Linked DNA regions of Saccharomyces cerevisiae S288C. The main gene of each other region encodes a partner of the protein of the gene in region 2 in a complex. Each region holds a gene or a part of one and is shown on either strand. Other genes may lie near its edges. The genes, in order: CFT2, CFT1, YTH1 and SWD2. A codon is read from its position in the direction of its gene.

The links.
Region 1: the proteins of CFT1 (region 2) and CFT2 are in contact, whole or in part, in a cryo-EM structure (PDB 7ZGQ), measured with the Saccharomyces cerevisiae proteins. Residues at the interface, in NP_010587.1 of Saccharomyces cerevisiae: Lys84 (codon at 5,023), Ile85 (codon at 5,020), Thr99 (codon at 4,978), Leu100 (codon at 4,975), Ser101 (codon at 4,972), Leu102 (codon at 4,969), His103 (codon at 4,966), Tyr104 (codon at 4,963), Ala196 (codon at 4,687), Val199 (codon at 4,678), Ile1277 (codon at 1,444), Asp1278 (codon at 1,441), Arg1279 (codon at 1,438), Glu1280 (codon at 1,435), Leu1281 (codon at 1,432), Gln1282 (codon at 1,429), Gly1285 (codon at 1,420), Leu1286 (codon at 1,417), Asn1287 (codon at 1,414), Arg1289 (codon at 1,408), Met1290 (codon at 1,405), Leu1293 (codon at 1,396), Ala1294 (codon at 1,393), Tyr1298 (codon at 1,381), Gln1299 (codon at 1,378); in NP_013216.1 of Saccharomyces cerevisiae: Ile524 (codon at 2,080), Ile525 (codon at 2,077), Ile526 (codon at 2,074), Gln527 (codon at 2,071), Ser532 (codon at 2,056), Lys533 (codon at 2,053), Lys535 (codon at 2,047), Met536 (codon at 2,044), Phe537 (codon at 2,041), Pro538 (codon at 2,038), Phe539 (codon at 2,035), Pro541 (codon at 2,029), Ala542 (codon at 2,026), Lys543 (codon at 2,023), Ile544 (codon at 2,020), Lys546 (codon at 2,014).
Region 3: the proteins of CFT1 (region 2) and YTH1 are in contact, whole or in part, in a cryo-EM structure (PDB 6EOJ), measured with the Saccharomyces cerevisiae proteins. Residues at the interface, in NP_010587.1 of Saccharomyces cerevisiae: Val516 (codon at 3,727), Gly517 (codon at 3,724), Tyr537 (codon at 3,664), Tyr949 (codon at 2,428), Glu951 (codon at 2,422), Ser1020 (codon at 2,215), Ser1021 (codon at 2,212), Met1022 (codon at 2,209), Gln1024 (codon at 2,203), Ser1027 (codon at 2,194), Lys1030 (codon at 2,185), Glu1034 (codon at 2,173), Glu1092 (codon at 1,999), Ser1094 (codon at 1,993), Arg1096 (codon at 1,987), Lys1104 (codon at 1,963), Leu1106 (codon at 1,957), Pro1118 (codon at 1,921), Val1119 (codon at 1,918), Ala1120 (codon at 1,915), Phe1121 (codon at 1,912), Asp1123 (codon at 1,906), Ser1133 (codon at 1,876), Phe1134 (codon at 1,873), Gly1135 (codon at 1,870), Asn1136 (codon at 1,867), Leu1137 (codon at 1,864), Gly1151 (codon at 1,822), Phe1152 (codon at 1,819), Asp1153 (codon at 1,816); in NP_015432.1 of Saccharomyces cerevisiae: Ser2 (codon at 2,348), Leu3 (codon at 2,351), Ile4 (codon at 2,354), His5 (codon at 2,357), Pro6 (codon at 2,360), Asp7 (codon at 2,363), Thr8 (codon at 2,366), Ala9 (codon at 2,369), Tyr11 (codon at 2,375), Pro12 (codon at 2,378), Phe13 (codon at 2,381), Lys14 (codon at 2,384), Phe15 (codon at 2,387), Phe18 (codon at 2,396), Leu19 (codon at 2,399), Tyr23 (codon at 2,411), Ser24 (codon at 2,414), Phe25 (codon at 2,417), Ser26 (codon at 2,420), Leu27 (codon at 2,423), Asp28 (codon at 2,426), Pro29 (codon at 2,429), Asp30 (codon at 2,432), Arg31 (codon at 2,435), Ile33 (codon at 2,441), Lys55 (codon at 2,507), Val57 (codon at 2,513), Phe61 (codon at 2,525), Trp70 (codon at 2,552), Leu71 (codon at 2,555).
Region 4: CFT1 (region 2) and SWD2 share a complex: the UniProt entries of both Saccharomyces cerevisiae proteins name them as parts of the cleavage and polyadenylation factor (CPF) complex.

What each region holds. Positions count from the first base shown.
Region 1 is NC_001144.5:375,375-381,633, reverse strand, and holds CFT2 (cleavage polyadenylation factor subunit CFT2), read right to left. Parts: upstream 3,650-6,259; coding exon 1,070-3,649; downstream 1-1,069. Other genes in the region: mRNA splicing protein MSL5, read right to left, coding at 1-812; AVL9 (Avl9p), read left to right, coding at 4,396-6,259. UniProt on the Saccharomyces cerevisiae protein: RNA-binding component of the cleavage and polyadenylation factor (CPF) complex, which plays a key role in polyadenylation-dependent pre-mRNA 3'-end formation and cooperates with cleavage factors including the CFIA complex and NAB4/CFIB.
Region 2 is NC_001136.10:1,060,856-1,068,623, reverse strand, and holds CFT1 (cleavage/polyadenylation factor CFT1), read right to left. Parts: upstream 5,273-7,768; coding exon 1,199-5,272; downstream 1-1,198. Other genes in the region: mannose-ethanolamine phosphotransferase GPI11, read right to left, coding at 234-893; PRO1 (glutamate 5-kinase), read left to right, coding at 5,833-7,119; rRNA-processing protein BFR2, read right to left, coding at 7,393-7,768. UniProt on the Saccharomyces cerevisiae protein: RNA-binding component of the cleavage and polyadenylation factor (CPF) complex, which plays a key role in polyadenylation-dependent pre-mRNA 3'-end formation and cooperates with cleavage factors including the CFIA complex and NAB4/CFIB.
Region 3 is NC_001148.4:740,259-744,408, reverse strand, and holds YTH1 (cleavage polyadenylation factor RNA-binding subunit YTH1), read left to right. Parts: upstream 1-2,344; coding exon 2,345-2,971; downstream 2,972-4,150. Other genes in the region: proteasome regulatory particle lid subunit RPN7, read right to left, coding at 666-1,955; putative protein kinase ISR1, read right to left, coding at 3,017-4,150. UniProt on the Saccharomyces cerevisiae protein: RNA-binding component of the cleavage and polyadenylation factor (CPF) complex, which plays a key role in polyadenylation-dependent pre-mRNA 3'-end formation and cooperates with cleavage factors including the CFIA complex and NAB4/CFIB.
Region 4 is NC_001143.9:402,164-406,553, reverse strand, and holds SWD2 (WD-repeat containing protein SWD2), read right to left. Parts: upstream 2,453-4,390; coding exon 1,463-2,452; downstream 1-1,462. Other genes in the region: ATP-dependent 5'-3' DNA helicase HCS1, read left to right, coding at 1-1,364; MCO12 (Mco12p), read left to right, coding at 2,675-2,974; RAM2 (bifunctional protein farnesyltransferase/protein geranylgeranyltransferase), read right to left, coding at 3,036-3,986. UniProt on the Saccharomyces cerevisiae protein: The COMPASS (Set1C) complex specifically mono-, di- and trimethylates histone H3 to form H3K4me1/2/3, which subsequently plays a role in telomere length maintenance and transcription elongation regulation. Involved in mediating RNA polymerase II termination.

The DNA.
Region 1 (6,259 bases), on a different chromosome or scaffold from region 2:
CTGTTATCTTCTCTTAAAGTACCATTAAGTTCCGCCAATTCTCTCAGTTGTCCTCGTTTCAAGTCATTCTGGCCTTCCGGAGATGTCACCGCTTTGATAACAATGTTTTGACAAACTTTTATACCTTTTTGGATCTTGTCTTCCGAGTCTGCGATAATTAAACAGTGCAAGGGGTCCTCAAAGTTCATGGCGCCTGGAGGTAAGTCACTTGCATTCTTACCTTCTTTGACTGAACCTCTTCCTCTAATTGCAATCTTACAATTCGAATCTTCTTGCAGCTTTCTTAACGTACGTCCACGAGGACCTAATAATAAACCAACAAAATTGACATCAGGATACTGATCCACCGGGATATAATACTTGTCCTGAAATTTGGTAGGTCTCTTGTAATCATCCGGAGGAACGAAGTAAGGGATGGTCTTTAGGGCTATCTCAACAAGTTTAATACGTTCATCCTCTAGTTTCTTTCTATACCTCTGCTCACGGGTATTCGTTCTTTTACCTTGGGCATCATAAACTGGTGGCGGAGAAGGTGACCTATTTTTCCTGGAGGGGGGCACAAAATCGTTCGTACGCAGTTTGATGGTAATTTCTTGAATCCTAAACATGACTTGATAGGAGTATATTTGTTCCCTAGTTAGGGCCCCACTAATTTTTGATGGAAGAGAATTGAATCGATGGACATCGCTTTCTACCGTGTTCTTTCTCCATAACGAAAGGTTGACGTTTGGAGGAACCTTTGCTTTTTTTTCTTCCATACTGCTTCCTTTTCTATTTTCAAAGTATCTAGAGTTAATCCTTCTAAAACTCATCAACAATTTCCTTTTATTGTGGGATAGAATAGCACTTGTAGCAAATTAGGGAAAAAATTCTGCTTTGAAAATTTCCGCTTGGTGAAATTCAGCAGAAAAAGAAAGAAATCAATAATGCTAATATCGTTAAAAGTGAGTTAGAATGTTATATACAGATAATAGCGGTGCGAGATACACAGCAATTTATGTCACATACTGTTTTGTGGGCAGTCCACGAACGTAAATTGAACCTTTTATTTGTGCTGTATACAAGAAGGCTAGATTTTTGCTAACATATCCGTAACCAATTTTTTGACAGTATCAAAAAGTTCGGAAGGCGTACCATCGATAATAGTTTCTGCATCATTGATTTTGCGGACTGCTACTTTTTCATTTATGACAAGTGTACCTTCCCCTTTAAATTCTGCAATGTAGTTTTTCTCTGTGAGAAGTTTCTTTAATTGTGCTAACCTAACGTCACCGATTGACAACGCACCTGTTTTATGGCTCCTAGATGAACCGTGTAATGGTTTCAAGACTAGTTTACTCCTTGACGCTGTTTTTTGATGATTGTTCACTTGCGGTAGGCTCTCCTTAACCAGCCTGCCAACGACAGTGGCAACTGTATAACTATCACTGATACGTTGCCATTTCAAAAGGTTATCGAGGTTGGAGTCAATGGAGATATCCAGGGTCTTTATTGTTGTACTGAATTCCACTATCTTATTTAATGGCATGTTGACCACTTCAATATTTTTCTTGATAAGTTTTGCCGTAATTTCTTCATTTTGAATCTGTTTGGGGGCGGAAAGAACTATTTTTCTAGATTTTAGCGATGGCCATATAATAGATGCAGACCTTTGATCAACTAAACTCTGTAAATTTAGGATTACTACGGAGCATTTCAATTGGACATTTACAGTTGAGATTGTTCTTTTGGAGAGCGTTTTGTCTATCTTTAAATAGTCAAGGTTATCAAAATTTTCTGCTTCTCCGGTTCCAGAAAATCCCGAGTAACGAGAAGCACGGTGTTTGCTCCTTTTGCTAATTGGATCACTCATATTATAACCATCTTCTTCTTCATTTTTGTTATCTTCTTCGTTTACAGGGCTCGTGGTTTTAGCACCGTCTTTGAGAGGTCTTTTCCTGCTATTTTGATTAACATTGTCAGAATCATCAGGTAAAAACATCGTAAAATCTACAACAGTACCATAATCATCTTTCTTGATTTTAGCGGGGTTAAATGGGAACATTTTATGTTTTGAAGCGGCACTTGGTTGAATTATAATGTCTACAGGAACTTCCGTATTTTTTTTCGCTGCTGATTTCTCAGAGTTATCCTTGAGTAAATTCAACAAATTGTCGTTTTCTTCCTCTTCATCATCATCTTCGTCACCCCCCATAATATGATCAATCGGTGGTACTCCATTGACGTTTTCCACTAAAATGTCTTGATTTCTCATTGCCCTCTCTCCGTTGGTATCATCTATGATTGCGTTGCCGTTAGCCAGTTTCTTAGACTCTCTTTTCACCAGTAGAATTTTCTTATTTCTGTCCCTTTTCTTTTCTTTAAGCTGTACTTTAAACGCCTCTGTTTCCTCTTTACTCAAGGGTTCTTCTTTTATGGTGTCTATTGAAATGTAATTATCGCAGAGGAATGATTTACCATCTTCAGGAAATGTTTTCCAATTTCTTTCATCTTGTTCAACAATTTCTAGTATCTTGTCTAAAGACGACGCACATTCAAAGCTCGGCTTGGTCAAAATCAAGGTTGTCTTCTCAGAATTACCAACTTTAATTATCACTTCATTAATCAAAGCTCCTACCTCAGATACGAAGCAAATCTTTGAACCAGGATATTTACTCAATTCGTTTGGTGCGATGATTTTGATCCGTGATCCAATTTCAAATGGAGAAGTATTATTTCTGTTTTCCCATGTCTTAAGTAGTGAAGGGGACAGCCACTCGAGCATTGATTTGGCATATGTTAGAGTTCTTCCTCTCGCGTAAGACAGAATAAGTACAGGTACTTGTGTGTGCGCATTGATCTTTGTGCTTTCAAATAATAACTCATGAACTTGTGTGAACAGGTCCAGAAATTTGCCACTCATATCTACCGGTATTATAACGGACCCATCCGAACTCAAACCTTTCTTTAATGTATCTTTAAAGATTTTTGAACGTTTTTTAAACGGTTGAGAGGAGCCAAACCTGTCCAAAGTAGTAATTATTGCAGAGGGCCTCATCAAAGTTGATAAGGGCTTACCAGTGGCGTCCAATATAGAAGCAGCATTTAGTATGTTATCTCTAGTGTGGTTCCATCGCTTTGCATAAACCAATTTCTCTGAGTATGTGCTAATGCACCAAATAGAACCACCTGGACACACACCAGCATTGTACGCCAGTAAAGTCAATCCATCGTATCTTGATCGTAGATCTACCAATTGCGAGTACTTCAAAGGTACAATATGATCAAAAGATATCTCAATATCTTCAAGATCGAGTTTATTTGTGTCATATGGACCTATAACACCTGCAGATGCATATGAATCTATGGTGGAAACTCTCCCTAAGTTGATAACAGGAAGAGTTGCGTAAACTTGAATTCTGGATATGAAATGCGAGGTAAAATTATAGTACAGAAGGGAATGAGCACCTAAACATTCAATTGTTGGTTGTGATAGTATTATTACATCAATTTCCGGTATCACTTTTTCCCAGTACTTGATGCATTGCTCATACGATACTTTAGATGGATTCCAACCGGGATCGATTAACAAGGTGACGTTATCAAATCGTACCACTGAACCAACGGTGGTTCCTGATCCATCATCACAGCAATTGTATTTATAAGTCATATATATTCGTCGCCCTCAATGTATGTTCTTCATTTCATCTTCTGTGTTATTTCTTTAGCGAACAAATATTCGTGAATTCGATGTTAAAACTGCAGATTGTTTAAGAAAAGCGGGAAAACGCCGCCGAAAGAAAAAATCTTTTTCTAGTAATATTTCTTATTACAACAAACATTGAACATTGAATGACTTCAATCCGTAAGGGTTCATTGCTTGTATAGTTGGACTATATGTCATAGGTGAATCATTATTTCTTGAACTCAGGTTCGCTTTACTCAGTCTAGTGCACGTGAGATTACACTGCAAAAACTCCATGAACCAAAGAACTTACCTTAGACTTGCATTTGGGAGCAAAGTTTACACTAATTAATGCTTTTTATTTTTATTGTCCCAACCTTCTAATGTGTGGATTATTAATGGGGTAAGTTGAACTTCTATTACTTCCATTGAACGTTTGAGAAGTATCATTGCTTAGGAGGTTTGCCTAGCAAAAATAGCCGCTGAAATGATGCTTGTCCGTCGGGTAATGATTATACGAACGGGTAACGGAAGATATGGAAGCTAACCCAACAGAGAGCAGTCAATAATGGATCTTGCATAAGAATGTACGGCCCGATCAAGCATCCTTACAGCTCATTCACGAAGTTTCCTTTTCAAGAAAATTTTGAAGCCTTAAAGGAATCCAAGCAGGAAGACCATATCAAACTAACATATACATTCTGCCTCGCTGCAACCTTGTTGTCAAAATAATGGATGAACACGAGGAAGCAGTCATCTTCGGTATCTGCCTTGTGGACTTTCATCACAAAAGAGGCCCTGAAATAGAATACTGGTATGGCTTACCTGAGGGCACCCAAAGTGCAGAACTATGGCCAAATTTACCCTTCCAGGCCCTTCCTGATGGTTCTCACTCGTTTGAAGAAACATTTACTTATTTCACATTACTATATGATGAAAGAAGACAAAGGAGCCCTCCCAACGGGGCAACTGATCTGAGTGATGATAGCATCAATGACAACACGACTTTGTTTGCCATATCTTGCTCGAGACAGATAAAGAGTGATGAATTGGTCACTAAAGATAAGGATGTAACACGATCTACTGTACAGAAGGCAATTGTAGTCATCTCAAGGCAACCAATCTTCGGTCAAATCAAGGACAAACTTAGTATTGTGACTAATGCTTTTTTCTTGCAGCATGATTTTGGGGACAGGAAGATAATCCAGTCTTTATACGAAAACCTGAAGTCGATTTACACGCCTGCATCATTGGTCAGAAATGCCGAAAATCGTCTTTATATTGGGTTATGTCTGAGAAAGATACTACATGATTTTAAGAGAAACGCTTTAGTCTTATTGAAAGCAATTATGCTTGAAAAAAAAATTATAGTTTACGGCAACGACGTGGAAGCTTTGTGTAATTTACAGTTCGGTCTGATCAGCTTAATTCCGGACTTGATGTCAAATTTGCAGGATTCTGGCAGTCCTCAGTTGTTTCAGGATATTTCGAAATTAAATGTTGTGGACTCGTTTAAATCAAGCAATCGAGAATCAGTGTTGAGATTCTTAGGTTTTCCATTACCGATTTTCGAAAAAGGTGGACTATTTTCACCCTATACTCCACTGCAGCAAATGAATGACATACGGTCAGAACGTACTTTGTTTTTTATGATTGGAAGTTCCAACACATTGCTTGCTGAACAAAAGGAGGAACTGTGCCACATATTTGTCAATACAGACAATTCCACTGTAGATATTCTGGACAAGACTTTGAACCCCGTCCTCCAATTGTCAAGTCATGATAAAAAATGGATTGAATCTATATCTGGAATTGTATCAGACACATGGAACGAAAATGATGATGAAACTCCAAAAAACTCTCAATTTGAAGGCAGTGAGGATTTCATTAGGTGGCAATTCGAGGACTATTTAACGGGGTTACTTTCCAGTGTTAAATTAAGTGATTATTTGGACCTGCATAAAGAGAATGATCAAGCTTTGAAGACTATACCTGAGGATATGCTAAATTCCAATCCCGTTCATTTATTCAATTTGAATTGGGTTCAGAGTTGGAAAGAGACTCAAAATTTTCTGATATTCAACTCAAGAACAGATGATAGATTGTTCGACTTGTTTCCTCCGAAGCATATATATAACGGTGCCGACACTCTGTCTCTATTACAGCAACGATTTTTGGCCACATTTCATAATTTAAAAAGAAGCTCTAGCAACTCTTCAAGCAATAAAAATGGTCATCAAAGCGAGGAGGATATCAAAGACCAGGAAAGCATCGAGTCAAAAAAGTCTGTTTCCCAAATTTCTGTAAATCCTGGAAAGAATACAGACAAGCCAGCAGCCAACTTATGGAATTCATGGAAGGAATATTTCAATAAACCAAAGAATACTGCTAATGAAGATGTTACTGAATCCACAGAAGATCTCAAAAACAGAAGTAAAACATCGAACGCGATACAGAAAGCTATGATGGGCTTGGGTTTACATTATAAACCTGATGCGGAGACAGATCAACAAAGTGAAGAGGTGGGAAATAGTGAGGACAATGAAGATGATGATACTGATGAGGACTCTGAGGATGATGATGATGATGGTGGTG
Region 2 (7,768 bases):
GGAAATTATGAAAAGAAAAGAATGAGGAGAGTGGGAGATATTTAATGTTGTTAGCTATTTATCTGTATGGAAGTTATTACCTTCTTTTAAGATGGTACAAATAGCATATAGGTGGGTTTGGTATAAAGATCATTTAGTTTTTGTCATAGATTTTTCAATTGTGCATAGGACCAGTTTATGTTACCTCTATCATACTTATATTTTTTTATATACAAATTTTTAAATTACCGATATTATATATAGGCACCGATAGTATAGCCCACCAAAGCGCCCAAATAACCTCCAACAACAATAGGAATTGGCCAATTCTGCCAATCTCTATCCCAATCCAAAGGAATGACAACACAACTAATCCAACCCCCTACAACGATAAAGATAAAATACTTCTTCCATAATCCCACTTTGAAATCACAATTAAATACAGAATAAACTGCAGGGTATGCTAAAAATGCAAAATGCAGTGACAACAGCCAGGTTTCCCACAATAAGTCCATTAATGGCGCACCAAATAATATAGTTAATAACATTGTGGGAAAGCTCAACAAAAATGTAACACCTAGACAAATAATGGTCAATGAGTAATTGATCTTAATGATTTTGTTACCGTAAACTGTGCATTTATTGAATTGTAAAACTAAATAAGCAACTTGTGTAGGAATCAAAAAACTTAGCAACTTCACCGTATTGAAATTTGAAGATACAAAAACGTAGTAATAAAGTAGTGCTACTAAATGGTATGGAAATGTCATCAGAGGGGTTTTCCTCACATACACAGGTGGACGATCATGATCTACGTTCTTTTTCTCACGATTTTGGTGCGTTGTTAATGTTGTGTCATCGGAGAATGATACGGTTTTTTTCACTGTCTTTCTAGTCCTTTTTTTAGCTGGCATATTTAAATTGGACCTTCTTTAGTGCACTTGTTTATGTTCCTGCAAAGTCTTTGATTAAAGGCACCGTTTGCACTTTTGCTTTATTTCACTAACTGTTCTTTATTTGTTTTTTTTGCTGTGCAAAAAGTAACTTTTTCCTCATCCCCGCGTTACGTAAATAGTTCCGAAAATGTACGATGATACATGCGTTATTGTTACAAATCTAGTGTTTCAAGTAGTGGTTCTTATTCACTACTCGAATGCCTAGTGATAGATAGATGTATATATCGGGCTAGTTAGCATTAAATATCCTTTATATGTATTGTTCACTTACCCTGGCATAAAGATCTCATTGAAAATTCAATATTTATGATATCTCTCCATGCTTCAAAATGCGCATGTCTTCCTGCTTTCTGCGCAATGCTTTTCCGTCTATCAATAGCTAATCCACAGAACCTCCGTATAACGTTGAAATCAAGCATAGGCCTCATAGAGTGACCCATCTGATAAAAGTCGTTGGCCAATCTTTCCATGCGAGGGTTTAAACCACCTAGCTGTAATTCTCGATCGATGATTTGTTGTTGAATCACATAAAGTCTTCTGTATTTTTCCTCACTTAAAGGAACTATCTTGAAGACTGACCCATCCACTTGGCCACCAACGTTTTGAAACGATGGCACTTGAGGAGAGCCAAATTCCTCGTTTCTTGGTAAAAGCATCATACAACTATTGGTGGAATGCAACGTGAAACTGGAGCAGTGGACTAAACGTTGACCCGAAAGAGAGTTGGGTTCATCTGGCGCATATTTTAAAACATGAACATTTCTGTCAGCATCTGTTGCCGCAAAATACATATCCCCTCCGTTCACTAAAAACTCTAGCGACATTGTTTGAAATTTCGACATACTTCTGCCCAATGAAATCATCCTGTATGGTTCTGCGTCAAAACCAATAAATTGGAACCCCTGCATAGCGTCACCAATTATCAAAAGATTACCAAAGCTTTTAGAATCCGTAACGAAAACAGGAATATCCAAAAATGCCACTGGTATGACGGAATTATCTTCTTGGATATCTCTTACTAGAACTTTTTGGCTTTGACTAATCATGAATCTTCCACTAACCTCACAAACAGTAGATACAGTACCACTGACCTCTTCTTGAAAAATTTCCTTGAGCTTATAATTGGTATCAGGTTTACCAGGTTCGGGAACAACTTCTATCACATCATAAATATGGAAAGCGCCAGTTGGTGGAGTGTCTTCAGTGGTGGCATTGGCAACACCGGCTATAATGTATTCTCTTTTCCTCTTAGTTTTTGAATTAATTTGAATCATAGAGGATCTCATTTCATTGACGACAGAATTCTTTGGAAAGTCGATTTTATCAATGACCTTCCAACTTTTTGGATTAATGAGTAAAATTCCACTTTGAAATCCTTCCGCATGAGGAACATTCTCGTCATAACCAATTACTTTTTCGCCATCTTCTCCTAATGCTTCGTAAGGAACCCGCTTGCAATAAGATACAAGAAACAATTGAGCCCTTTCATGATAGACTAGTTTTTGCAGAGTTTTGTAGTCATCAAGCACATTGCTGATCTTTATCTGTTTCAATGGTAATTTGTTACCATAGTACATATTGTCAGTAGTTAGTGTGTAAACTCTGGCGTTTTTAATATCATCTACACACATGACTGAACGCTCGCTCCAGGGAGTGACTGAAACCAATGGTATGTTTCCGAATTTGAAAATCTTCGGTGTGGAATCATCTTCTTTTATTAATATGTATGGAACGCTACCGGTTACAAATATTACCGAATAACCGTTGTAATCGGGAAAGTAATGCATGATTCTTTCGATGGAACTAACACCCTTGGCGTATGCATTGTCAGGAGCACCAGTAATAGCTAGATCATTTCTTGTAACGTTTCTATAAAATCTACTACGTCTTTGTGGTAATTTTCTATATTGGTAAATCTCTCCTCCGAAGGTTAATATTGTCAGGTATTCTTCTTTATTGTCATGGCCCAGTTTGTTTATCATTACTTGTTTAATCGATGGATCAGGGACGATCTCATCGCCCAGTTGATAAGTGCTAATGTATAAAGATTCATTTAATTGGTCAACACCATTTAGTTGAAAGATTCTGTCATTATGGTCTTTAGTAAAAAAGATAATTTGGTTATCTGCAGTAACAAATGTAAACAATAACTGTTCTTCTTGAGACTTACTCAACCCAATCAAAAATTCATTACACATATTGCTTTTCAAAATCAAACCAGATGTAATAACCATTTCATTCAAAATTTCTGGCAAATCAACTTTTAACAATTTTCTTTTATTCTTTTCCTCCAATTCAAATATCTTAATATCACCCCTTGATACGGTAACTAGTATATACGGATCCATGACGGAAACATGAATAACTTCGTAGTCAAATTTAATTGTGGTGAGACGTCTAAAATGTGTATCATATAAATATAAGTGATTGGTGGTGACTTGTATTATTCTTTTTTCTTCACCAAACATTGAAATGTAAACTGTAGTAGCATCTCTTCTTAAACGGCCGCCCTTATGAAGTTTGAAGTTATTGTCACTTTCATATATGTCACTCCGGGATTTTGTGGAATCAGTAGTTATTAAGTACCTATCTCTTCCTTTGATCTTCAGATTCCAGATTTGTGTTATACTGATAAATTTCAATGCTAATTCAATTTCCGGTTGAACACTAGTCTGTATGACGGTCAAATGAGAACCTGAACCATTTCCCGATGTGGCAACTAGCGAATACTCGTTTTTGTTTGGATTTGGTAGTCCTTTTACCACATCATCAATGGAAGATACCTTACCTACAGTTAACGATGTGATGGGACCAACATTCCTTAGAGATGATAACAGTTCGATATCGAAAGGTTGAACAGTTTCCACAGTGCCTTTGGAATCATTAGTTGTTAGTCCATTTTCAGGAGCTTCATCGGCGTATAAATCGTCCATTTCCTCATCATCGTCGTCATTGATATCCATCAAACTATTTGTACCTGAAGATGGATTGTGTGCTTCTCTTGTTTCAATGGTAGATTTCAAATTATTCAATCTGAGAACCAAAGCATTTCCTGAACCAAACCCAATAAATAAGTCCATATTTTTGTTTGAATTGGTGGCATTCAAACGTGTTATACATTTTGGATTGGAGTTCTCCTTCAAAAGATCATTGACTATAGGTAGCTTGAAAATATCGAATTTAATCAGTAACCTGCCCTCTGCTTCCATTTGGATATAGTATATATTGGATTTCAAGTCCATAAGTAGTAGTGTTTCGTCATTATTACTTCCTCCGTTTTTGCTCTTGGACGAAGGTATCCAAATTGACGTAGTGTTTTTCTCCCTGAACATAATTTCCAATGAAGAATTGTTGATAATTTTTGTTTTCTGTAACTCTTTATCAGCAAATGAGTTTAATAATACTGTCGATTGTAAAACGCCAGTATTATCTAGAAATGCCAGTTCATTGGTTCCCACAATGATAGCACCATTCGAAACAGGTACAATGGTGTGTAGATCCCAAGGCAGTTCCTTGACAAATGCTATTGTGGTTGATTCAATCTTGGTGGCACTTTCTGCAGGCTGGATATTTAATGTGAGTATAACGTATTGTGTAGGGAGTTTTGAAATGGTGGTGTTTCCTGCCCAAACAAGCTTTGGTTGGTATAAGAGCGCTATCGTTGGTTTAGTAAAATTTTTCAAGAACTGAATATCTATGATATTTTTGGCGCCTTCGTACAACTCACTCGCTACCAATACCACGCTTGGAGCCGTGAACTTGTCACCTAACTTGGTTCTCTTCCTCTTATTGAAAGTATTCGTCCCTTGGGATTTTTGATTCATGCTATGGATTAATTCACTATCGTCTATGTTCTCGTCCTCATCTTCTTCCTCCTCATCGTCGTCATTTTTATTGACATGGAAGGGTAGAAAAGCGATAATGTCATTATTGAACAGTAAGGCACAAGAACTTCCAGGATCCATTCTCAAGGTGGAAATTTTGGCCAGCTCTACCAACGATTTACCCTTGAACTTTCCTTCGTAGTAATGCAGGCTTAGGGTATCGATTGAGTTTGTTAGCGTGTTGAACTTTAAAATAGAGATTTTAGCGACGCCTGTGCATAAAAGCAGGCAACTTAACGGACTGTCTTTTTGGGGAATGAGGCCTATATCGGTGATCAAGCCATGAAACTTAAACTCATCAGTCAAATACAGTTTACCATCCCTAGTAGGCCTGTAGACAGAAAGGATATTTGTTCGCACCACTAAGAGCTCCTCATAATCTGAAGTAGTAAAATGTGTTGCTAATGAATGAGACACAACAGTAGCGTCAAGCACATCATCATATACATTCATAGGGCCAGTAGCTAGAGTAAAAAGCGAATCTAGGTTAGTACCTGATAGTTTTAATCAGTGAAGTGTTCAAGGGACGGTGATCTTCCTCAATTTACATATGATTGCTTTAACGCTGCTCTGTGAAATATGTCACCTCGAACTTACCTTATATTAAGATCACTTACTACGTTGTCTTATTGGGAGCCGACGGGATGAGGAAGCACAAAATGTCACTAATAGGGCTGGTCAGTGGCACAGTGAATCATAATATATCGGTTGAGCACCAGTTAAAGTATGAACATGTTAAATTTAAGACTCTCACTTATCAATGGTTACATTTTGGTCTAAATTTATTTATTTATGACACTATCAGGTACCTTGGTAAAGGAATTGAAAATAAATAGCACCCACACATCGCATGATGGCAGGAAATGAAAAATTACATCAGCGAACTAATGCTTTCTCGATGAATTATTCATCCATCAAAACGGTCTTTCAAGATTAATGTCTAGTTGCTTCAAAGATAGGCATAGTTTAGGTCATTTTATCAGCTACTGTAATATAGTCATAAGAACGCGAAAATGAAGGATGCTAATGAGAGTAAATCGTATACTATAGTGATCAAATTAGGCTCTTCATCGCTAGTAGATGAAAAAACCAAAGAACCTAAGTTAGCTATCATGTCGCTTATTGTCGAAACTGTAGTCAAATTGAGAAGAATGGGACACAAAGTTATCATCGTGTCCAGTGGTGGTATTGCTGTTGGTTTGAGGACTATGCGTATGAATAAAAGACCAAAACATTTAGCAGAAGTTCAGGCCATCGCAGCTATTGGGCAGGGTAGATTGATCGGGAGATGGGATCTTCTGTTTTCGCAATTTGATCAACGTATCGCTCAAATTCTATTGACCAGAAATGATATTCTGGACTGGACCCAATATAAGAACGCTCAAAACACAATTAATGAATTGTTGAACATGGGCGTTATTCCCATTGTGAATGAAAACGACACACTATCTGTTAGAGAAATCAAATTTGGTGACAATGACACTTTATCAGCAATTACTTCTGCTTTAATCCATGCAGATTATCTTTTCTTACTGACAGATGTTGACTGTTTGTATACTGATAATCCAAGGACAAACCCAGATGCCATGCCGATCTTAGTTGTCCCAGATCTCTCAAAGGGTTTGCCCGGTGTGAATACTGCTGGTGGTTCAGGTTCTGACGTTGGGACCGGTGGTATGGAAACTAAATTGGTTGCTGCAGATTTGGCAACGAATGCCGGTGTTCATACGTTGATCATGAAAAGCGATACACCTGCGAATATAGGTAGAATTGTCGAGTATATGCAAACTCTAGAACTTGACGATGAAAATAAAGTTAAACAAGCATATAATGGCGATTTAACGGATTTGCAAAAAAGAGAATTTGAGAAATTAAAGGCTCTTAACGTTCCACTACATACGAAGTTCATTGCTAATGATAATAAACACCATCTAAAGAATAGAGAGTTTTGGATTTTACACGGTCTTGTCTCTAAAGGCGCTGTTGTTATAGACCAAGGTGCGTACGCAGCCTTAACAAGGAAAAATAAGGCGGGATTATTGCCAGCAGGTGTTATTGATGTTCAGGGCACTTTCCATGAGTTAGAATGTGTTGACATAAAAGTTGGTAAAAAGTTACCAGATGGCACGTTAGATCCAGATTTTCCCTTGCAAACAGTAGGCAAGGCAAGATGCAATTACACGAGTTCTGAATTAACTAAAATTAAAGGTTTGCACAGTGACCAAATCGAAGAGGAATTGGGCTATAATGACAGCGAATATGTCGCTCATAGAGAAAATTTGGCATTCCCACCTCGTTGAAACGAACTAAAAAGTTATAGAGGATTCCCTTAATGATATTTCTTATATAAAACACTACCTTTATATTTCCAGGTTAAATAATGACACATTAAGCATGTTTTGTTTTTTTGAAGAATTGTGCAGAGCAGCTGTTTCTTCCTAATCCACATTAGTGTTCTTAACTCAAAAAAAAGGTAGTTGTTAACAGCTACTTTTTGTGATCCGTTAAAATCCTTCTATCTACTTATAAGCCCTAAATTAAATGAGTTGTGCGTATTTAAAATAAATGTATATTCAACCAAAGATTTGGATATCATCGTTTTTAACAGCCTCTAATTCTTCGTCATTTTCTATTCTGGCATGTTGTTCCTCATCCTCATTTTCATTAAAGTTCACTCGTTGACCTAACAATCCCGCAAAGAATTCATCGATTTGGTCGTCTGACCATTTGTATCCGGATGTGATGGGGGCTTCATAATTCGCAATTGGATCTTGAACTGAGTAGTTCAATTTCCTACCCTTGGAAGCCTTAGTATCGATATTCTTCTTTAGCTTGTTGTTCGAACGAGCATTAGTTGAGGTGATTGTAATTGCTGCACTTTCAGAATTGTGAGCGTTGGAAATCTTTTTGTCAATTAAATCGTTTAGTAAAACACGGTAAAAATCTTCG
Region 3 (4,150 bases), on a different chromosome or scaffold from region 2:
GATTTTTTATATAAAAAGAAGCTAAATAAGTGTTAACTTTAGGGAAAAAATTTTGCCACCTGTCAGAATTGAACTAACGACCTTTGCATTACAAGTGCAACGCTCTACCACTAAGCTAAGGAGGCTTTTACACTGTAGGGTATCCTCCAAGAAGGGACAAAGTGTCTGCATGGAAATTTGCAGCCGACTTCTCTTAATGTCTGTAACACTTAAACTATCATGGAGTGATTTCATTTCAACGATATCCCTAAAAGCGAACCAGAAGTGTTTTAGTTGAATCGTTTATTGGCTAGAACACTCGAATACAACGTATTAAACAAATGAAGAAACAATGACCGTATCATGAATTTCCTTTTATGGGGATTCCTTTTTCTGGTTATACTACTTTTTAAGAATTGGCATTTTCAGCCTTAGATTCCTCACTTTCAAAAGAAGCATGGTCCTTTATGAGACATTGCAATTATGTAACTTTCCGAACTAAATACTGAAATTTTTAATGGAAGCTTGAAAACTATAGAAGCTCTCCGTTTTAAAGGAGAAAGAGGATGATTACAATCCTTTGACTTGAACCGATCCATATATCCTCTCACTACTATTTACTCAAGTCTCCAAACTATGTATACATGTTGATGTGATTATGTGCGTTGCTAAATAATGTAAATTCCTCAAACACGATCTGACCCTGTCAATCTCACTGCTGCACCGTATTTTTGTAATTTTGTTAGCAAACCGTCACCTTGCTTAACTAGCAGATGGTATTGAGCATTTTTGTTGTCTGGCCTGTTGGTCTCTACGATCCCATTAACTCTATCAATGACACAATTTAGTTGCTTATTTGGAATAAACTTACCCAGGTCGTTATCCAAGAACGCAACCGAAACACCAAATGCGCTTGCCATAGATTTCAGCGACAAAGTCTTATATGATTCCAACAATTGTGCGTAGACTTTTCTTCTCATTTCTCTAACAAAGAAATCTGCATGTCTATTCAAATATTTACATGGAATCAAAACATTTGCATATGTTTCCAAAAGATATGGAAAGTAACTGGCATAATCGGACGCGTAAAGGGAAATTGTTAACGACGAGATAGATTGTAGTGCGGCAGTTGTTGAGATTAAAGATAACAATTCAGGTGAATCGATGACTTTGGATTTTAGGTCTGTTCTTTCCAGAGTGAATAAACCTGTGACCGATGCATATGTGGCAATGCTTTCATAGGAAGTTAATTCAATAGAGGTGAAAGTTGCTAGAGAATCGACCAATAACTTTGCCGCTTCCTTAAAGTTTCTTACGGCCAAGCAGTGGATACCATAGTATGTTTTATATCTATTTCTTCTCTCCCAGTCACCACCTTTTTCAATCATAGAATTGACTGCTTCCAACTTCTCCTTAACATAAAGTTGGTCGTTATAAAAGAACCCCAGCCTTGCAATTGTTAGCATAACATCAATTTTGGCGCCTGTGGAAATAGCCTTCGATAATGATTTCCCTAGCGTCTTTTCAGCATTATCTTTGTCACCGATTTGTGCATAATATTCACCCAGATTAATCCAGGCTTGAGCTTGTTCTAGTTCACCTTCATCATCTTCTTCCAATTTTTGGATCTTTTCATTTAACTCTTTAATCTTACTTTCATTTTTTTTGCACAATTCATTGTATAGCTCCTGGTCAAATTTGATCCATTCGTTTAAAGAATCTGACTTTTCATCGTGTTCCAAGTCAGATTGGCCATTATTAACAAGGTATTCCTCGCAAAGATATTTATAATAAGGGGCCATTTCTTCCTCTTTAATTTTGGCTAAAACGAACTCTGCCGCTTCCTTACGCTGTTCAATACTAACCTTTGATTGTGTCAAAAGAAACGCCTTTTCAGATACCTCATAATTGGGCACCCTATTCACCGTTGGATCAACATATTCAACTTCTTGACTTTTCTCTTCCACGTCTACCATTTTGCCGTGTTTATCCAGAATTTTTGCGTGTATTAGTAACTATTGTAACAGTGGTAAAAAGCGCAGTTTACTACAACAATAGAGATTTGTGTAGTGTTAACAATTAGGTTTTTCAATGCTGCCTTGTGTATATTAATCCTCAATGGGTGGCAAACTTAACTTATTCGGAAACTTGATTGAGCATGCATTTACGCGCCGTCGGTTATGATATGGGGAAAACAAGTGTTATTACAATAGTCCACTATAACTTTTAATAATTATATAGAATGCACTGTACTTTGTTGTTCCAATCGCTTCAAAATATCACATTTCTGAATTATAAGCTAAAGATTTCTGCACTGTATCTTAAACAAGTATTCTAGGACGAATAAAATCAATAAGTTTATGTAATGAGCCTAATTCACCCCGATACAGCAAAATATCCTTTTAAATTTGAACCTTTCCTCAGGCAAGAGTATTCGTTTTCACTCGATCCTGACAGACCTATTTGTGAATTTTACAATTCTAGAGAAGGCCCTAAATCATGTCCGAGGGGACCGTTATGTCCAAAAAAGCATGTGTTACCAATATTTCAGAATAAAATTGTTTGTAGACATTGGCTTCGAGGGTTGTGCAAAAAGAATGACCAATGTGAATACTTACATGAATACAATCTTCGAAAAATGCCTGAATGTGTCTTCTTCAGCAAAAACGGGTACTGTACACAAAGTCCAGATTGTCAATATCTACACATAGATCCCGCTAGCAAGATACCAAAATGTGAAAATTACGAAATGGGATTCTGTCCTCTGGGGAGTTCTTGTCCTAGACGGCATATTAAGAAGGTTTTCTGTCAAAGATACATGACCGGATTTTGTCCTTTAGGGAAGGATGAATGTGATATGGAACATCCACAGTTCATAATCCCAGATGAAGGTAGTAAATTAAGAATTAAGAGAGACGATGAGATAAATACCAGGAAAATGGATGAAGAAAAGGAAAGGCGTTTAAACGCAATTATAAACGGTGAAGTTTGATCTATGCATGGCTGGGGGTTTTCGATTTCATAGACATGTATATTATCATATATAGTTACTATCGAGTATAGTTATGAGATTTTCTAGAGGAAGTCTATCAACCAGAATTCTGGACAATAATGCTAGTTCTGACTTCCAATCCTGGAATAAATCGTTTCTTAACATGTTTAGATTTATAGGATCTTTTTTCAAAAGAGCATTTATCAGCCATTGGGACTGCTGTATAGATGAACTGCCAATACCTGGAGAGGATCCATGCGACACTAACGCCTGAAGTTCGTTGTAAGGCTCATGCTGCGATATAAATGATAAAAGACAAAGCCCCACGGCATACAAATCCGATTCAAATGTAGGAACATGATCGGAGGAGCTATCAATTAGTTCTGGTGCACAGTATTCTACCGTGGTATTCAGATCTGTTGGTGTTTGATTAATGTGAAATGCCGACGTAAAGTCAGCAAGGTAGAAGTCAAAATCCTTACAATGGCCTCCATTAAGAACATGCATTTCTGTTATTAAAATATTTGCTGTTTTTATATCACCATGAATTATACCATTTGTTTTCAAAGATTTTAATGCGTCTATCATTTGCTTCATAAGTCTCCACCATATTTTTCTTTTTGTTATCAACGAAAGCTTATGTGACACTGCTGTATTGAAGTGATATAAACTCATTTCGCATTTCGGAAGAATAAGGCCAGGAACACATTCGTTGGACCTCAGTCTTCTAAAATGGGATTTAGTTATGTATGTCAACCCATAGAATGGAATAATATGACTTTCATTGGTTGAAGGACTCATGTACTGGAGATATGCTAGCGTCAAAGCTTCCTGTAAAATCACCTTGCTTTTATGCTGTGATTTGGCAAACTTTAAAACAACCCCTGAATCGTTGTTACATCTTGATGAAGCACTTGATGATATAGGGTACACATATGAATAACTTCCCTGTCCCACTAATTTGTTAGACGGAAGAGAATAACTTGGATTTGACAAAAAATCCATCTCTGGAGCAAGTAATATGCCCATCAAAAACTCATCCAGAAATTCTAGGGAAGAAACTGTATTAGAAAGACGGAACATTAAAGCCAAATTCTCCGGAGAGTAAAACCGGGGGGTAGTGAACAATACGTCTAAATCGTTCTTTAGGTGCGCCTCCGAGGTAGCAACGGGCGCCTT
Region 4 (4,390 bases), on a different chromosome or scaffold from region 2:
CTCCTGGTACGGGTAAAACATTCACATTAATTGAATTGATCCAGCAATTGCTAATTAAAAATCCTGAGGAGAGAATCTTAATTTGTGGGCCTTCCAATATTTCTGTGGATACGATTCTGGAGAGGCTAACGCCTCTTGTGCCGAATAATTTATTATTAAGAATCGGTCATCCTGCTAGGCTATTAGACTCTAATAAAAGACACTCTCTTGATATACTTAGTAAAAAGAATACTATTGTGAAGGACATTTCCCAGGAGATTGACAAATTAATTCAGGAGAATAAAAAACTAAAAAACTATAAGCAACGTAAAGAAAACTGGAACGAAATTAAACTGCTGCGCAAAGATTTAAAGAAAAGAGAGTTCAAAACCATTAAGGACTTAATAATACAATCGAGAATAGTCGTCACCACTTTACACGGTTCATCATCGAGAGAACTATGCTCCCTTTATAGAGATGATCCAAATTTCCAGCTTTTCGATACCTTGATCATCGATGAAGTCTCACAGGCCATGGAACCACAATGCTGGATCCCACTAATTGCACATCAAAATCAGTTCCACAAACTAGTCCTTGCTGGTGACAATAAACAATTGCCACCCACAATCAAAACAGAAGACGACAAAAATGTCATTCACAATTTGGAAACCACACTATTTGACAGAATAATCAAAATATTCCCGAAAAGGGATATGGTAAAATTTCTTAACGTTCAATACAGGATGAATCAAAAAATTATGGAATTTCCATCGCACTCAATGTATAATGGGAAACTATTGGCCGATGCAACGGTCGCGAACAGACTTTTGATAGACCTACCGACCGTCGATGCTACGCCATCTGAGGATGATGACGATACAAAAATTCCTTTAATTTGGTATGATACGCAAGGTGATGAATTTCAAGAGACTGCAGATGAAGCTACTATCCTTGGATCTAAGTATAATGAGGGCGAAATTGCCATTGTAAAAGAACACATTGAGAATTTAAGGTCATTCAACGTCCCGGAGAACTCTATAGGTGTTATTTCTCCATACAATGCACAAGTTTCTCATCTGAAAAAATTGATCCATGATGAATTAAAATTAACTGATATTGAAATATCAACTGTAGATGGGTTCCAGGGCCGTGAAAAAGATGTTATCATATTGAGTTTAGTTCGTAGCAATGAAAAATTTGAAGTTGGTTTCCTTAAGGAAGAACGAAGACTGAACGTCGCCATGACAAGACCCAGAAGGCAACTAGTTGTTGTTGGCAATATAGAAGTTCTGCAAAGGTGCGGTAACAAGTACCTAAAAAGTTGGTCAGAATGGTGTGAAGAGAACGCTGACGTAAGGTACCCCAACATTGACGATTATTTGTAAAGAATACACAAGATGTATAGAGTATACGTCGTTATACAGTAGGTAAAAAATGTTCGTTATATATTATATCCTCTAGTATATCAATGCAGTAGCAGCAGTCATTCATCGTACACGTAAAAATCTACTGTTTCGTCTGCGGTAACAAACATCGAATATTTAGGGTTGAATGCAATTGACCTGGGGCAGGTCTCATGAGAAACACAGGGAATGAACCCTTGCGGCCTTAATACTTTGTTACTTATTGAATCAGAATGATTCCAAATGGCAATCCTACCGTCATAATCGGTTCCAAGGACGAATTCACCATCTGGTGTGAAACAAGCAGATCCAGAATCTAGAAATTCTCTCATCGGGAAGGCCCTTGTTCCTATTAGTTCGAATAATTGTTGACCTGTGAATGCGTCAAAAATTAAATGCTTTCCTATCGAGGAGCCAACTAATAAATACTTTCCATTGTTAGAAAATTCTAATTTATTCCATTGACTGAAAGTCGCATCATTAATTTTAATTATCAAGAAAGGACCCTCCTGAATTTTTTTCAGATTATATAGCCCTATTTCGAAATTCTCTGGGTTCCCCAATGCGAATACAAGGCCACTTGGATCATATGCGATACAATTTGGTACGAGACTTGGTATAATAACTTGCGGTTTAGAGATCTTCAAATCCCAAAGCCTAACGGATTCATCGTATGACGACGATAGAAACGTATCGTTCACGGGGTTCATCTTCAAATCATTCACTAGGGCGCCATGACCGGAAAAATATCTTAGATATTGGTTTGTTTCCAGATTAAGGTATTTAATGTCAAAATTTTTCATTGTAGAGGAATAGATACATTCGTTTTGTGCGTGCGTAAAGATAGCGGAGTGACAGCCATATTTCTTAGAGGCTATAGTGTCCAAGAATTTGCAGTTCGTGGCACTGTACAATTGCATTGTATCGTTGGAAGAAGAGGTCAGTAGAAACTGGCCATTATCGTCGAAATTCAATGAGGTTACGGGTCCGCAGTCTTTTTCTTGAGGTTGAAAGCTTTTAACATGCTTGAATTTCAGCAGGTTGGGCTTATTGATGGACACGGTGGTCATTGTTGGCTATGCTAAAAGGACAAACGGTGTATTTGCTTGTGCTTTGCTCGATATTTTAGTCTTGCTTTCATTTTTTTTCTTTCTTTTTTAATGTACTAGTGCTAAACTGCATGAAGAAAAAATGGGTAAAAAAAGGTATCGAATAAATGAGTGTAGGTAACAGTTAAACAGCAAAAAGAAGGAGCAAAAGAGAGTGAAGATCAGATCGTAACATATTGCAAGATGTTGGGAATGATAAGGTGGGTAGTAGAGGGGACGTTGGTAGCTATGCTCCTATCGGCAATAAGAAGGGAGACGGGAATGATATTCTTTTACAACCAGTATCAGTTGGGCGGCTGGATACATAGATATCTGTCATGGGGAGAGATGTGCTACACAAGGACGCTGAAGATGGTTAAACGTTCTAAATTTTTCAGAAAGCAGTTGAACGAGGACGGGTTTGGACGCATCAATGATAGCGGTCCAAAACGAAGGGGAAGAGATCAATCTCAATACAGCAGTAGGTTTGTAGAACTAGATTAAACTTGCGTGCATGCACGTACACACGTAAATATATTCGTACAAATAGAGTGCTTACATATATTCAGTTCAGATTATTTATTTTGTGGTGCCACAAGTTTTTTCTAATAGGATCGTATTTGATTGCTAGCAAGCTATAGGCCTTAACAGCGTTGTCTCGGGTACAAGGGTCTGCCCCCCAGTGATATGCCAGGAATTCCAGGGCATATGAGGACTCGATCTCGGGCAAATCCTCTGGTGAGCCAATTGGAAGTGACAATACGTCACCGATGAAGGTTGTGGCGAAGTCGACTACTTTGCTATCCCACTGTAGCCTATCATGGAATAGCTCTTGGAAACCACGGAGGTAGGTCCACGGACTGATGTTCTGCGGAACCAATTGAATCTTGTCCATAATGAACTGGAGCTCGTCGGCCAATTCCACTTTTGAAATGACATCTTTAGCGTTCACCCAGTAAAACATCCTATGAGTCCATGCGCTGTTGTTATAAATGTCTGTCTCGATGAGGTCGCTGGCGTAGGCGAGCTCATGTTGAAAGTCACTGAAGAACAAACAGCACCACTTTCTGTACGACCAAACGTGATAATTCTTGGAATCATCATCAATCATCAGTTTTAAGATAGGCAGCTCTCTTTTGAAGGAAGGAGACGGATGTAGCTTCAAAAGAGACTGTCTATAGGACCAGATCTGATAGTTCTTTGGATTATTCAGCGTAACTTCATCTAGCCAGTCTAATTCCTTGTTCAGGTACAAGACAGTGTCTTCGGATTCACTCATCATGTGCCTGACGATATTGAATCGGTAGTTCCATATGGTGTAGAAGGCTGGCGCCACGTCGATAATTTCGGCTGTTAGCTGTAGTGCCCTGGGTGACAGTTCGTTAAGGCTGATCAGAGCCCTTGCGAGTCCCATCAACCGCTTATAATCCTCGGTATACATAATCCTGCACAGTTCATCCTGCAAGTCTGTCTCAATGGGCAAAGGTTTAACGTCTGAATAATCGTACTCCTCCATTTTCGATGGTGTACGTTGTATCAGCACTTGATATATAATATACCATAATTAACAGTCTTGCAGTAGGTCTGCACCAACAGTTAAGGACCAATTTAACAGAATGTCAAAAGCGAAACTTTGCTGATGTGTTTTATCACGAGGCCCAATCGAAAACCGGCGCGAGCACTGCTGCAACCTTCAAAAATGAGAGAGCGCTTCCCAGCAGGTCTCTAGTTGCATATGGATAGCGTCATGATGAATATAGGTCAGCATAGGGCTCTGGAAGGCCTGGCATTATCGGTTATTGTCGCTATTGCTGCCCTTTTCTCTGCTCGTGTAAGGTGACATTGTTGTATTCCCGCTTTTTTCGTTTCAATTTTAACGGCAAGGAGCAACCATGAAAGTAAGATGATCGCATGAACTGA